Rattus norvegicus: one gene and its partner. The protein of the gene in region 1 purifies or fractionates together with the protein of each later gene. This does not show direct contact. Links are inferred from orthologs where the notes say so. Each region holds a gene or a part of one and is shown in the gene's direction. Other genes may lie near its edges.

What was found. The genes of interacting proteins can lie anywhere in the genome.
Region 2: the proteins of Ncbp1 (region 1) and Lin28a purify together in Homo sapiens (affinity purification with mass spectrometry; 3 studies listed by BioGRID and IntAct, with this or other methods). This does not show direct contact. The link is inferred for Rattus norvegicus from reciprocal best matches to the Homo sapiens genes NCBP1 and LIN28A.

The regions. Positions count from the first base shown.
Region 1 is NC_086023.1:65,209,366-65,215,531, forward strand, and holds the start of Ncbp1 (nuclear cap-binding protein subunit 1), read left to right. Parts: upstream 1-2,266; 5' UTR 2,267-2,335; coding exon 2,336-2,369; intron 2,370-6,166. UniProt on the Homo sapiens protein: Component of the cap-binding complex (CBC), which binds cotranscriptionally to the 5'-cap of pre-mRNAs and is involved in various processes such as pre-mRNA splicing, translation regulation, nonsense-mediated mRNA decay, RNA-mediated gene silencing (RNAi) by microRNAs (miRNAs) and mRNA export.
Region 2 is NC_086023.1:151,524,347-151,530,703, reverse strand, and holds the start of Lin28a (protein lin-28 homolog A), read left to right. Parts: upstream 1-2,819; 5' UTR 2,820-2,894; coding exon 2,895-2,925; intron 2,926-3,386; coding exon 3,387-3,583; intron 3,584-6,357. UniProt on the Homo sapiens protein: RNA-binding protein that inhibits processing of pre-let-7 miRNAs and regulates translation of mRNAs that control developmental timing, pluripotency and metabolism.

The DNA.
Region 1 (6,166 bases):
ACATTCACCATCATCCCAGTGTATGGCTCTGGCAGTTCTTGTCTGATTTAGTGATGCTTAATGTTTGGTTTAGGACCTTGGACCAAAATATGTGCATATTTTACATATCAAAGCAGACCTGGCCTTCAGGTTCTCCCAGTATCCCTTTGTCCCTACCCGATATACCTTGCCCCAATCTTGAACTTTCCAGCTCCTTCCCCCAGAGGCTCTTGCATATACAATCCAGACATTTTGGCCTCCTTGCCTTCTTTCTTTGCTCCTGCGTCCTTTCTTCCCCGATCCCCATAGTGATTTTCCAGGCCTCGGTGCTGGCAGCCAGTGAAGTCACTTGAGAGCAGCTTCCCAATAAACCCGTCTTTAATATATCCTCATCTGGCTGGAATTGGTTCACTTCAGGCAGAGATGTAACCTATTGCTTAACTACTCCCTTCTTGGAGGACTTTTCCAAAGTCTCAACCTATTCCGATAATTTGTCCCTGCTCTTCTTTTTTTTTTTTTTTTTTTTTTTGTTGTTGTTGTTGTTGTTGTTCTTTTTTTCGGAGCTGGGGACCGAACCCAGGGCCTTGCACTTCCTAGGTAACCGCTCTACCACTGAGCTAAATCCCCAGCCCCAGTCCCTGCTCTTCTGATCACAACTTGTACCACTCTCCCTTCGCTATTAAGTCAATCAGACTACAGTGCCTGTGGTCATTCCTGAGGGGTCCATTTAGGGCTTCGGCTTCTAAAAGAAACTCCCCTTTGTTTACCACACAGCTTCAATATCCTGAACACCATCTTGTGTACAGAAGGTAACAAATGTCAATTAATACAATATAGTACTTGTTGAATAAAATAAAGCAAAAGTTGAAGAGTCAGAAATAACTCTGTAGGTATCCGATGGCCAGTCATGTAGGTTCACAGCAGAGACCATCAGGTAAAGTAAATAAGTCTTAATTCCCAAAATGTGAACAATCTGGACTTATCAGAAGAACATAGTGGTTTATACACAATGATGGGTACAGAACCCAAGAAGCCATAGTTTGGAATTTGCAATAGAAATTCCTGGAAAGATGGATTGCTTATATGTATGAATAAATAAATGAAAAGAATAAATAAAAGACAATCTAAGAGAGAGAGAGAGAGAGAGAGAGAGAGAGAGAGAGAGAGAGAAGAAGAAGAAGAAGAAGAAGAAGAGGAGGAGGAGGAGGAGGAGGAGGAGGAGGAGGAGGAGGAGGAGCCAGAACGATGGCTCATTGGTTAAGAGTGCCTACTGCTCTTGCAGAAGACCCAGGACTCAGCACCCCACCCCACCCGACTCTCGCCCACTCTCCTCCTCCCATCTCACATGTCAGTCAGAAACTCCAGTTCCAGGGTGGTGTACAACTTACACCCAGGAACAAACACATAGAATTTTTTTTAAGTCCATGAAGGGTTTTAAACATAGTGAATAAGTGGTTATAACTTGCTTTGAAAGTACAGCAGGCAGTGTTAGTGGAAAAACTGTAAAACAGGAAGTGAAGGGTCTAATGATTCCTCCCTAAATTCATGGATTAAGCAAACTACAGAAACGGCCATTTGCTGTAACAGGTAAGACTGAAGGAAAAGTTTTGGCTAGACCACGGACAAGGCAGTTTGGTGCCCATCACAGGGCAGAAACGTCCACATACTGTACACGTGCAGAGGGACAGAAGAACAATTGGATGCAGACCGATCAATAGCTGAGGCGCCCGTCAGCTGGAAGAGGTGAGCAGTAGGACGGCAGTAAGCAGGCTCGGCCGGGCGGGCCTGGCTCCCCTACCGCTGAGAGTGGCTTGCCCTTCTTCCCCGCTCAGTTTTCCCGAGACGTCTACAGCCAGACGGCAAAAGCGAGAACACGTACCCGCAATACCTAGGCCTTTCCTGGGTCTCCCTTCTCCAACTTGGCGCTGCTCCCCGCCCTGGAGCCCACGCCCCCCCCCCGGCTCGCGCGTGCGTAGAAAGTCCCTGAAACGTCACCTATCTCCGGAAGTCTCCAAAGTCGTCGGCGCAGGGGCCGCCGGGAAAATACTGCTGGGCCTGTGCAAAGCTGAGGCGGGATCGTTGCAGCCCGGATAATTTAGCTCGCCGTCCGGAAGGTCCCAGAGTGGAAAGCCGGAGGAGGCGGCTGAGCTTGGACTTGCAGACGCCGGCCTTCCACCGCGAAACCCATCCGGTGCCTCTCCGCTCGCGCTTCCGGCAGGCGTCGTGAGCGAGTGCGCCTGCGCGCCGCTCAGTCCGCGCGCCTCGCCACTGACCGCGCACCGGCCGGCCGGCAGCCCGACGGTTCTGGTGTTGCAGGCGACCCGCAACTCAGATCCGCTGCGCATCAGCAAGCAGCATGTCGCGGAGGCGGCACAGCTACGAGAACGATGGTGAGTGCTCTGGGCCTGGCCACCGCACCCAGGTGAGAGTTGAGAGGCCGGACTGCCCTCGGTCTCTAGGGAACAAATAGGAGTCCTTTCTCCCCGGGAGGGTTCGAGGAGCCCCGAAGGGAGGCGACTGGCTCGGGTGTGGATAGTGGCTTCAGGAAAGCGACGGCCTCCCTGCTGCCCCATCTCCTTCAGTCACGGGGAAGGAAGGCCTGGTGTACCCCGTGGGCAAACCCGACCTGGAGTCCGGCGACACTGAAGACTTAATCCCTCACTACTGATCGTGGAAACGCACGTGTCTGCTGCTGCCCCTTAGGGTCAGTTAGTGGCGGGGATCTAGTGGACCAGTGTTTTCATTTTAACCCTCCAGGGTGCACTTGGAAAGGACCCTGGGAAGACGGGAAAAGAACAAAGCTATGACAGAGATCGGATGTATTGCAATCTGAACCCTACCCCTCTACCTGCCACCTTCTGATTTCCCTCTTAGGCTTCAGGGAAAGAATACCAACACCTCAGAGGTCACTAATAAACAGACACATGCTGTTTTGCTGGATTGACTTTAAGCCTATTTCCCTGTGTAAGAAAGTGCAGGAGAACTAACCTGAGCATATTAGTAATTCTCATGTCAGTTTTGATAGTCGCGGGCAAGGAGGTTGTCGTGTTGCCATAAATTTTGTTGCCAAGCTCAATTTTGCACCATTATTGCCTCTCAAGGACACAGCCATACCCAGAAGTGAAACTTGGAGCTGTTGATATTAGTGAATTCCTCTTTGAAATGTATGTTAGATCCAAATGATCAAGACAAGAAAAAACTTTAGAACCCAAGGGTTTAGGTTCAAAGCTCGACATCTGCTATTTACTATGTGATCTTGTCATGGTCATATGCCCTCCAATACTAAGCCTTTTGATTTCTACGAGGACTAAATGAGATACTGTGCTCACCAGTAAGTAGTTCATGATGCTGTTTGTTTTACCAACTGTCAATGTCTCAAAGGTGATACAGATAAATGTTGACGTCATTAAGAAAAAAGCCGCCCCCCCCCTCCAAATTAATTGGGTAGCTTCCTTCCTTGGAATGTTAAGACAACCAAGTAGAATCACACATAGTTTTAAAGTGGACCACCAGGTTTTTGCTAGGCAGTACCTGAGAGAATGCCCTGATACATCAGAGCAAGTCGGAACTCCCACCACATCAGCATAGCTGCTCTGCTTGCCTGATTTTGTTTTTGTATTTAACATGATGGCTTCTTATGTAATTCATGTACAGAGCACAGGGAATACAGCTTTTCTCTGCTTTGTATCTGACTACTGAACTAATCTGCTTGGGATCAGAGAATTTGTCCTTGGTCTTCATCCTAGTTCTTTCCATTCTCTTGTCTCCATTTTTTCTCTCACTTCCAGGTTACCCCTAAAGTGAGGGTGTCACTGGAGAATTAGAATATGAATATATAGAAAACCTCTTATGGCTTGCTTAGAAGGCTTGCAAATTTTGGTTGTGTTGGCTTTTTTTTACCAGCTAGCGGCTGAATCATTTTTTCAGTTGGGTCTGGGTACAGAAACCTTAGAGAGTAGATAGAACAAAGTGACATACAATTAAGCATTTGTTAATCGAAATTCAGTATAGCAAATCATTTAGTGGTAGAGAGGCTGTTTATAGTTCCTCCAATTGTAGACATATGGAGATATACTTTATTTAGAGTTAAATAATCAGTTTAGTGAGCTAAATAAAAAATAATTGGGCTGCTTTTTAGTGAAGTGTCTGCAGTTCATATATATATATAGACAACTTTTTTAGAGGTGGCTAGGAATTTTAAAGAAATCAAAGTTAACCAGACCTAAGCATTTCTGGTTATTGTCAACTCTACTCTGATGTTCCTTATGCTGGGCTGTGTATAGTCGGCCTTCTGCATCTTCATTCTCTCTATCCTTGAATTCTGCAATGTGGTTCCAAAATACTTGAAAGGTGTCAGTACTGAACCTGTAGTTAGTTAATTTTTTTCCTTGTTATTTCCTAAATGATATAATGTCACAACTATGTATATAACACTTGTATTATATGATAAGGAATGTAGAGATAATGTAAAGTATCACAGTATACATAGATCATGGGCAAATACCAACACTATTTTATATAAGGGACTTGAGCATCATTCAATTTTGGTATCTGAGTTGGAGCCCTGTTGATACCAAAAACAGCTGTATAATCTAATCAGGACTTACTAAACAATTTCCTAGCTTCTGTACTTGCAGTACAGTAGTAGGCAGTAAAACAGTGGAGGTTCCCCCTCCTGTATTAAGACAAAATCCACAACAGTATAGTGTAAGTCATTATATGGTCATGAGGCTGTGGAGAATAAAGTGAGGTAAAGGGTACAGAGACCAAAGTGAGAGAGAAGCTGGTCAGGTAAGTTCGACTTGCAGATTACAGTGATGTAAGGATAGGCCATGTGGATGTTTGGAGAAAGCAGAGGTCCAAAGGAAACCACGAGTTAAAGTTAGAGCATTTCTGTCATGTTTAGAGAACAGATAGCAAAGAGGTCACTGTTGCTAAAAGAGAGAAAATAAGGGTAGAAGTTATGAGGCTCATACCTTACTGGACCACTTTCAACATTTCTGTTAGGACTATACTATTGGGGATTCACAGAGATATTACAAGGTAGCTAGTCAAGAAATTCCTGTCATTTAGAAACACAGACAGAGGTATTGTAAATGGAAAGTACCAAATCTAACTCAGTCTTAGACTCTCTGTTTATTTTTGAGACAGGGTCTCTGTGGCTGTCTAGAACTATGCCATTCAGGCTGGAACTACTATGTCCTGGCTATGTGATCCCACTGACCCCCCTTCCCCCAAGGGAAATATCATGTCTGGCAGTCTTAGATTCCTTAACAGTATCTCTGAACCTCTCCAGTTAACGTTGGATATACATTTTATCAGTGTTAAGTATACTGTCTTATTAAGAAGTTTTTGGATTATTCAAAGTCAAAATCCAGATAGCCTATTCTTTCTTCTTCTACTTAGGTCTTTATATTTTACTGTGACTGATGTTTTTAAACTTAACTGTATAAAAAGTTTGTTCTACTTAGGGACAGTATACTTTGTTTCAGAGGTGATATTTTTAGTCATTTTAAATTGTTTTAAGTTTGTAGAGTCAAAGTTACTTTTTTCTTTTACGGTGTGTTTGTCTACTTTGTTGATCCAAATTACACATCTGATTCTAATAAGGGTATAGGAAATAGTACAATGTATCCTTGTGACATTAGGTTCCTGTTGCAGGGAGAAAATTATTTGGTGTCTTGCTTGTTTGTTAGTTTGTTGTGTTCTCTTGTCTGTTTTCCACCCATCCACCTCCGCTGGTTTCTCTGTGTAGCCCTGACTGTTGTGGAACTGGCTGTGTTGACCATGCTGGCTTCAAACTCAAGAGATTTGCATGCCTCTGCTGCCAAAGTGCTGGGAGTAAAGGCATGTGCACCACAAAAGGCGTGGCTATAATTTGGAGTTTACGAGCCTTTAGAGTGGGTGGTTAATAACATAAATAAAGGTCTCTTTTCTGCACTAGGTGTATGTAGCAATATGTAACTTTGACATACGTTGTAAAACTTACATAGCAATGTTTTAAAGCCTTTTCTGGAATATGGTGTCAACATAAACTTGTTTCTCTTTTATTGTTTGGGGCATGAAAACGTTCAGCTAATTCCCCAAAGAGTATCTAAAATTTCAAACAAAGTGGTTTTCAACCTTCCTAGTGCTGTGACCCTTTAATACAATTCCTCATGTTGTGGTGACCCCCAATCATAAAATT
Region 2 (6,357 bases), about 86 Mb from region 1:
GAAAAAAAAAAAAAAACCAAAAAAAAAAAAAAAAAAAAAAAAGGACTTCAAAGTTATTCTGGGCTATATAGTGATCTGAAGTCAGCCTGGGCTACATGGAACCCCGCTTCAAAACACCAACAAAAACTCACTCGTCAATAATAGAACTAATTTTAAATTACTAGTCAATAAATCACTTTCTCTTCTACTCTGGTTTTATGATATTCAAAGATATTATCTTTCTTCATGACCAAATGAGTAGGCCTGAATTTTTTTCCCCTGAAGCTTGTAATGCCTTCAATGTTCTGACAAACATTTACTTCTATCAAATATCTTCCTTAGTATTCAAGAAATATTCAGGGCTGCAGACATTGCTCAGTGGTTAAGAACCCTGACTCTGCTTCCAGAGGACCTAAATTTGGTTCCTAGAACCCCAATTTGATGGCTTACAACCTTATGTCAGTTCAGTTCCAGGGGACCCAACACCTTTTTCTGGCTTCTGGGGGCAGCTGTACACATATGACATACAAAACACATACAAATAAGTACAAATAAAGTAAGATGAAAGACAGATTAAGGCAAGCAATGTGACAGGCACCTGTAATTCAATTCTGAGGAGACGGAGGCAGAAGGACCGTACCAGCATGCCATGCAGCAAACACCTTATCTTAATCAAAAGCAAAAATAAAGCGTCTATTTGTCTCATGTGTGTCAGGGGACCTGGGGGGGGGGGAGAATCAGGCTTTTTTGGAAGAACTTGGACCTAAGAATGCAGGAAGGTCTCAAGGCGGAGAAAAGCACCAACTTTTCAGCACCAGGGACAGAGCCACGGGCGCCCTCAGCACCCTGGACAGAGCAAGTGGTCGTGCCTGCCGGGGAAATCCAACCAAGCTAGAGTCTGACCAAGAGAAGCCTGAATGCTCACCTCGTCTTTCTTCTTCCCTTCAGAAGACCTCAACCACCAACTTATGAACTTCAAGAGCAACTGTATAAGGAACAGTAAAGGCGTTACTTAACGGGACCGGGTTCTGTAAGTGAAATGACTCTGGTTGACACACTCAGACGACTCCAAAAAGACCTAACAGTCCCTAGCTGAGAATAGGACACTGTTAGTGATACTTTAGTTTTTCGACTAAGTAGCACAAGGCTACTTACTGTCATCCTTTCCATCCTCCAAAGCTCTATCTCGGAATTTTTACGCTCATCAAAGCGGTTCGTAGAAAAGAGGAGGAAAATATTCCTCATGGTCCGTCTACCCATCGTCCGTTTCCCTAGCCATCATCTTTTTTCCTCTTTCTTAGATAGGCATTTGCTCATGAACGTGCACTTACACATGCACAACTGCAGCGTGTGGACCACAAGAGATTCTACACACTTGTGGAGAAGACTGAATTCAGGATAAGCTGATGCCTCTGAAAGCAGGCTCTGTCCCTTTAAATGGGTTGTAGCTGTGGGGGAGGGGAACTGACCGGAGCTGGCATTGTCCAGTTTGAACTGAGCACCGGAAGTGAAGGGGCAGGGCCAGGGCCGTGCACTGAGCCCCGGGCCATTGTCCATCTCTGACCAGGGCAGTGGCCACCCCTCTGGTCCACCCTCTTTATCTTCTAGTAGGGAGTTTACCTCTTCAAATGAGAAGCTTCCCTATTCACTCTTTGCACACCAGTCTACCCCGGAGGGTAGAGCAATTTAGGATGGTGACTGAGAACAGGAGGGACTGGGAATCAGAATGTCCCGGGTCCTGGAGGAAGTGCCTCCACCCACCAATCTATTCTCTGCCACCAACGGATGGGACAGGACGGGACTCGGCAGGCAGGGGCCCGATGAGAATGCAGCTAGCAAAGAGGGCACTCTTCAGGTTTCCACATGCTCTCCCAGGAAGCTCTACCTTGAACCAACTTTAGGTGTAGGCTTAGGAGGGAGCAAAGGACTCTTCACACAGAATCAATTAGGAGTTTGTTTCTGAATGGGACAAACCCAGAGAAAGTGATGTTGAAATTTGGAGATGGAGACATCCAGTTGCAGCCAGAAACAGGCCGAGTTTGAGAGGCAGCACCTGGGTTAAGACAGATCAGCTCTGTGGGGGCTCCAGCCGCTTCCCTGCACCCCTATCCCGGCTTCCTAGTGTCCAGAGCTCCAGGTCTATCTAAGCACACGGAGGTGGGGGGTGAGAGCAGGTCAGCGCCAAGCAGCCGGGTCAGCTCCGAGGCCTGAGGGGAAAGAGGGGGAGGGGCGCTGAGGGGCTGGGGGAGGGGGAGGGGGAGGGCTCATCCATTTTTCCCTTGACAGGTGGTTTGTGTTTCTGATTGGACAGCGCCACCAGGCTCACACCTCCCTCCCCCAACTCTCTGGAATGTATAATTATCTGCCCGGGGGGTGGGGTTGGTGTGTGTGTGTGTGTGTGTGTGTGTGTGTGTGTATATATGTGTGTGTGTGTGTGTGTGTGGTCACGTGGTTATAAAATTACCCCCCCCTCGGTCCCCCACCTGTGTCCGCTTTAGATACCCGCATTGAGTCCTCAAAGTGCAGGATCCCAAATTCTGGGGTACTGAAGACTTCTGGGGCAAAAGATCCCCATCTCCAGATGTGTGTATGTGGAGGGGGTGTCAAATCTCAAGGTTCTGGGAAGGGACACCCCAGAGGTGTCAGAGACCAGAGCAGTGGGGGAGGGCCGAAGCCAGAGCCAGAGGGAAAGGGAGGGGTAAGGAGAGAGGGGAGGGGAGGGGGCTGCCCGTGGGGGGTTGGGTCATTGTCTTTTAGAATTTGGGAGCCTTTGAAAAGCCGTGGGCCCTCCCACCGCTATTGTGCAGGGGAAGATGTAGCAGCCTCTTCTCCGAACCACCCCTTTGCCTCCGGACTTCTCTGGGGCCAGCAGCCGCCCGACCTGGGGCCCGGGGCCACGGGCTCAGCCGACGACCATGGGCTCGGTGTCCAACCAGCAGTTTGCAGGTTCGAGCTTGCGATTCAGCGGGCACACCTTAGGGTGCAGGGCGCCCAGTAGCTAAATAGAAGGGAGGTGGGAAAGTGTCCCACGGACTTGCCCGCGGGACCCCAAGTCCCCGTGGCCTCCTGCTTCTTGGGGCCATCTCTGGACTAGGGGAACCCTGGTGTTCCAGTGGCTTGTACGCGGAGCCCGTAGGGGCGGAGGGAGAGAAGAGGAGGGGCCTGTCCCGCCGCGTGTGCACGGGCAACTTGTTGTGGGAAGACAAGCAAAACTTTCGGGGCGTTAGCATCCTCGGTGTAAGCTTGGGGAGGCAGCTAGGACAGGTTTCTTCTTACCAGCCGCTTGGTAGCTGCTTCCTCCTGGGTGTCTATCCGCGGGCTGACCACCGAGATCTCCCAGACGGGTCCCTGAGAGGGCCTGCGATTCCTTGGTCCCCAGCTGATCACCTGGCCCTCCCTATCTCCAGGTGGCTGCGCCAAGGCAGCGGAGAAGGCGCCAGAAGAGGCGCCGGCTGACGCGGCCCGAGCGGCAGACGAGCCGCAGCTGCTGCACGGGGCCGGCATCTGTAAGTGGTTCAACGTGCGCATGGGGTTCGGCTTCCTGTCTATGACCGCCCGTGCCGGGGTCGCGCTCGACCCCCCGGTGGACGTCTTTGTGCACCAGGTGAGACTGATTCTGGAACTTTGCTAGGAAAAAAAAAAGACTGGGAGTTCCTATGTATGGGCTTGGCTGGTGGCCCCTCCTGTCCGATTGGAGGAGATAAAGGACCCTTATTGTGCGTCCCTGTCTTTTCCGGGGCACCCCAATTTTGAGTTTGTAGTAAGTGCGGTGGTGCAAGGAGGAGGCACTACTACCAGCACCCCCTCCCCGCCCCCTTCCGGGAACCCCTCCGGCTTACCACGTGTCTATTACCTCTTTCCCCTGGGAAGGGAGCAGGGGGCAGGGAGGTGACCCCATGTGGCAGAAACTAAGGTTGTATTGTGCTTGCCGGTGGGGGAGGGCGAGCAGGCTGACCAGGGAAGCACATGCAGGGCCTGAGCCGGGTGCTAGCGCCCTGAGTTCTGAATTTCTGAATCTAGTTTACAGGGAGAGTGAGCAATTTGCCACCTACCTACGGGCATGAACCTGCGACGTCAGGCTCTTCCCGTTTGAATACGGACCTCAGTCAGGTGGCCACCCAAAAGCCAGGTCCTGTGGCCAGTGTAGGTTTGGCAGATCCCGGAAGGATCAATGTGTAAGCTAAAAAGCTCCCCTAGAGGTCTGGTTGCAGATCAGGACTGGCAGGCACCTCTGGCTGTCCACCGGATCCTGCCAGGAAGGAAGAAGACCTTAAGAGCCTAGGCCTTCATTCCTGGCTGTGGCAATCCCAAGTTCTCAGTTAAAGAAGGGCAACGCGGTAGGGAGTGAAATTCAGTGTCGAGGGGGAAGGCGGTGGAGAGAGGACTGGCCTCTGGCCCTATTCTCCTCAGCTTGGCATTTATGGCCCCAGACAGCCATTGATTGCTGTCCCTAACATTCCTAACCCTAAACAAGGAAGGGAGTAGAGCCTTCAGGTTTCCCTCTTCCTGGCCATTCTCTTTCTTAATACCCTACGGGTGGTTCCAGTGCTGCCATTCCGCGGTGGAAAGGGAGTTCCTGCTCCGGCCCTTTCCACATTTGGTGGGTTAAGGCTGGACCAGGAAAGAAGTAATTGCTAATCCCTGGCCCAGGAGCTTGACACCCGGGCCGGGCAGGGAGGGGTTACTTCAGGGAGGTTAGCTTTAGGAGCTGTGGGGGAGGGGAAAGGAGGATGTGGGGATTAAGAGTTGGAGCCTGAGGGATGGCGTTCTTGAGGGGGAGGGGTGGAGAAGGAGATGCTGGGTGGACTGTTTAGGGGCTGCTGGGTAGGCTGAACTCGGCCCTTTAGTCAGGAGGTTGAGTGCAAACTAAATAGATTTGGGTTGAAGGGATTTGAGGACCAGCTCTTTGCTGTTGGTGTCCTAGGGTCACTGGGCCTTTGGAATATGTGCTTTCTTCCCGGACCTGTAGCAGTGCCCTTAACTTTTCTGCAACCCCCACCCCAATCACTACCACCAGACTGCTGGTTTCTGGATGGTGGCTTTGTACCCCCCAATCTTATTTGCATATGTGAATGATAACCCACAGGAAGTAATTGTGAGACTGGGAATTGGCCTCTTTAGATCTATTAAATCACTTTATTACAGGAACCGGCTCTGACCGGCCCTCCTCAGCGGGTGGCAAGCCTCCCCCCCACCCCCCCATTGGTTCATTTATCTGATCACAGAGATTAAAATATTTCCTGGTCTAGAGATGAGCTGGGGTATTTCTTCAATTTTGGGAGGCTGGGTATGAAGGAGGTTCCAGACTTTCTTGACTCCTTGCGGAGGTTAAGTGGGGAGGAACTGGGGAGAATGTCCCTTCTGATCGGAGGTTCACTGGTGTTGGGACAAATGGAGAAGCTGTGCCTCCCTTAGGATTCATAGCCACTGGAAAGTTACAGGATATCTCTGGAAGAAAGCAGCAGTCTTCGGTACAGACTAGCTCGGAAACCAGCCCACATTTGTGGATTTTGTGTTTGGTTTTTCTTTTTTTTTTTTTCTTTTTTTTTTTTTTTCTTTTTGAGAAGGGGGTCTCACTGTGTAACTGTGGCTGGCTTGGAATTTGCCCTGTCACCCAGGCTGGCCTTTAACTCGAGAGAGCTGCCTGCTTCTTTCTGCCTTCTGGATGTTGGGATTAAAGGCCTATACCAAGGTTCTTGGCTGGCAGCCATATTTCAAGAACTCAGTTACCTCTCTGCTCTCTAAACACTGTGACTGGTGTTTTACCATAACTTGCCTGGCCCACACCGTAGCAGTAAACTCGGTTGTTGAGCTGAGGTATCTCTTCAGGAGGAATGTGGTAGATACAGGTTAATCTCAAAAACTTGTTTACTTTGGAAGGGGGGAGCGTAGAGAGCGTAAGAAATCTCGAGTGGAACTTCTTCAGCTCCTGGACCCTAGTGATGGGGTAGGATTGCATTGGGGTGGGGGGAGGATATTGTCTCAAGATTTTGCCATGCCAGGGAGAGGGAGGGGTCAAGAAAGACCTTTGCAACATGGAGGTAATACAGAAACCACTCTCCTTGTGCTGATTCATATCCTCTCTTTTTAATATTTTGAGACAGCACCTTACACTGTAGTGCAAGTGTAGTCTGCAAGTCATTGTATAAATAGCCAAGGTGACAGATAGTTGAGTGACACCCTTTTACTTTGGTGTCACCAGTGCCTGACCTGTACACACTTCATTCTGTTCCCAGTAAGGAGTAGGCTGGGGATGAGGGGCTATGAAACAGGCTTCTCTTTTTTTTTTTTTTTTTTTTGGGTTCTTTTTTTTTTTTTCCGGAGCTGGGGACCGAACCCAGGGCCTTGCGCTTCCTAGGTAAGCGCTCTACCACTGAG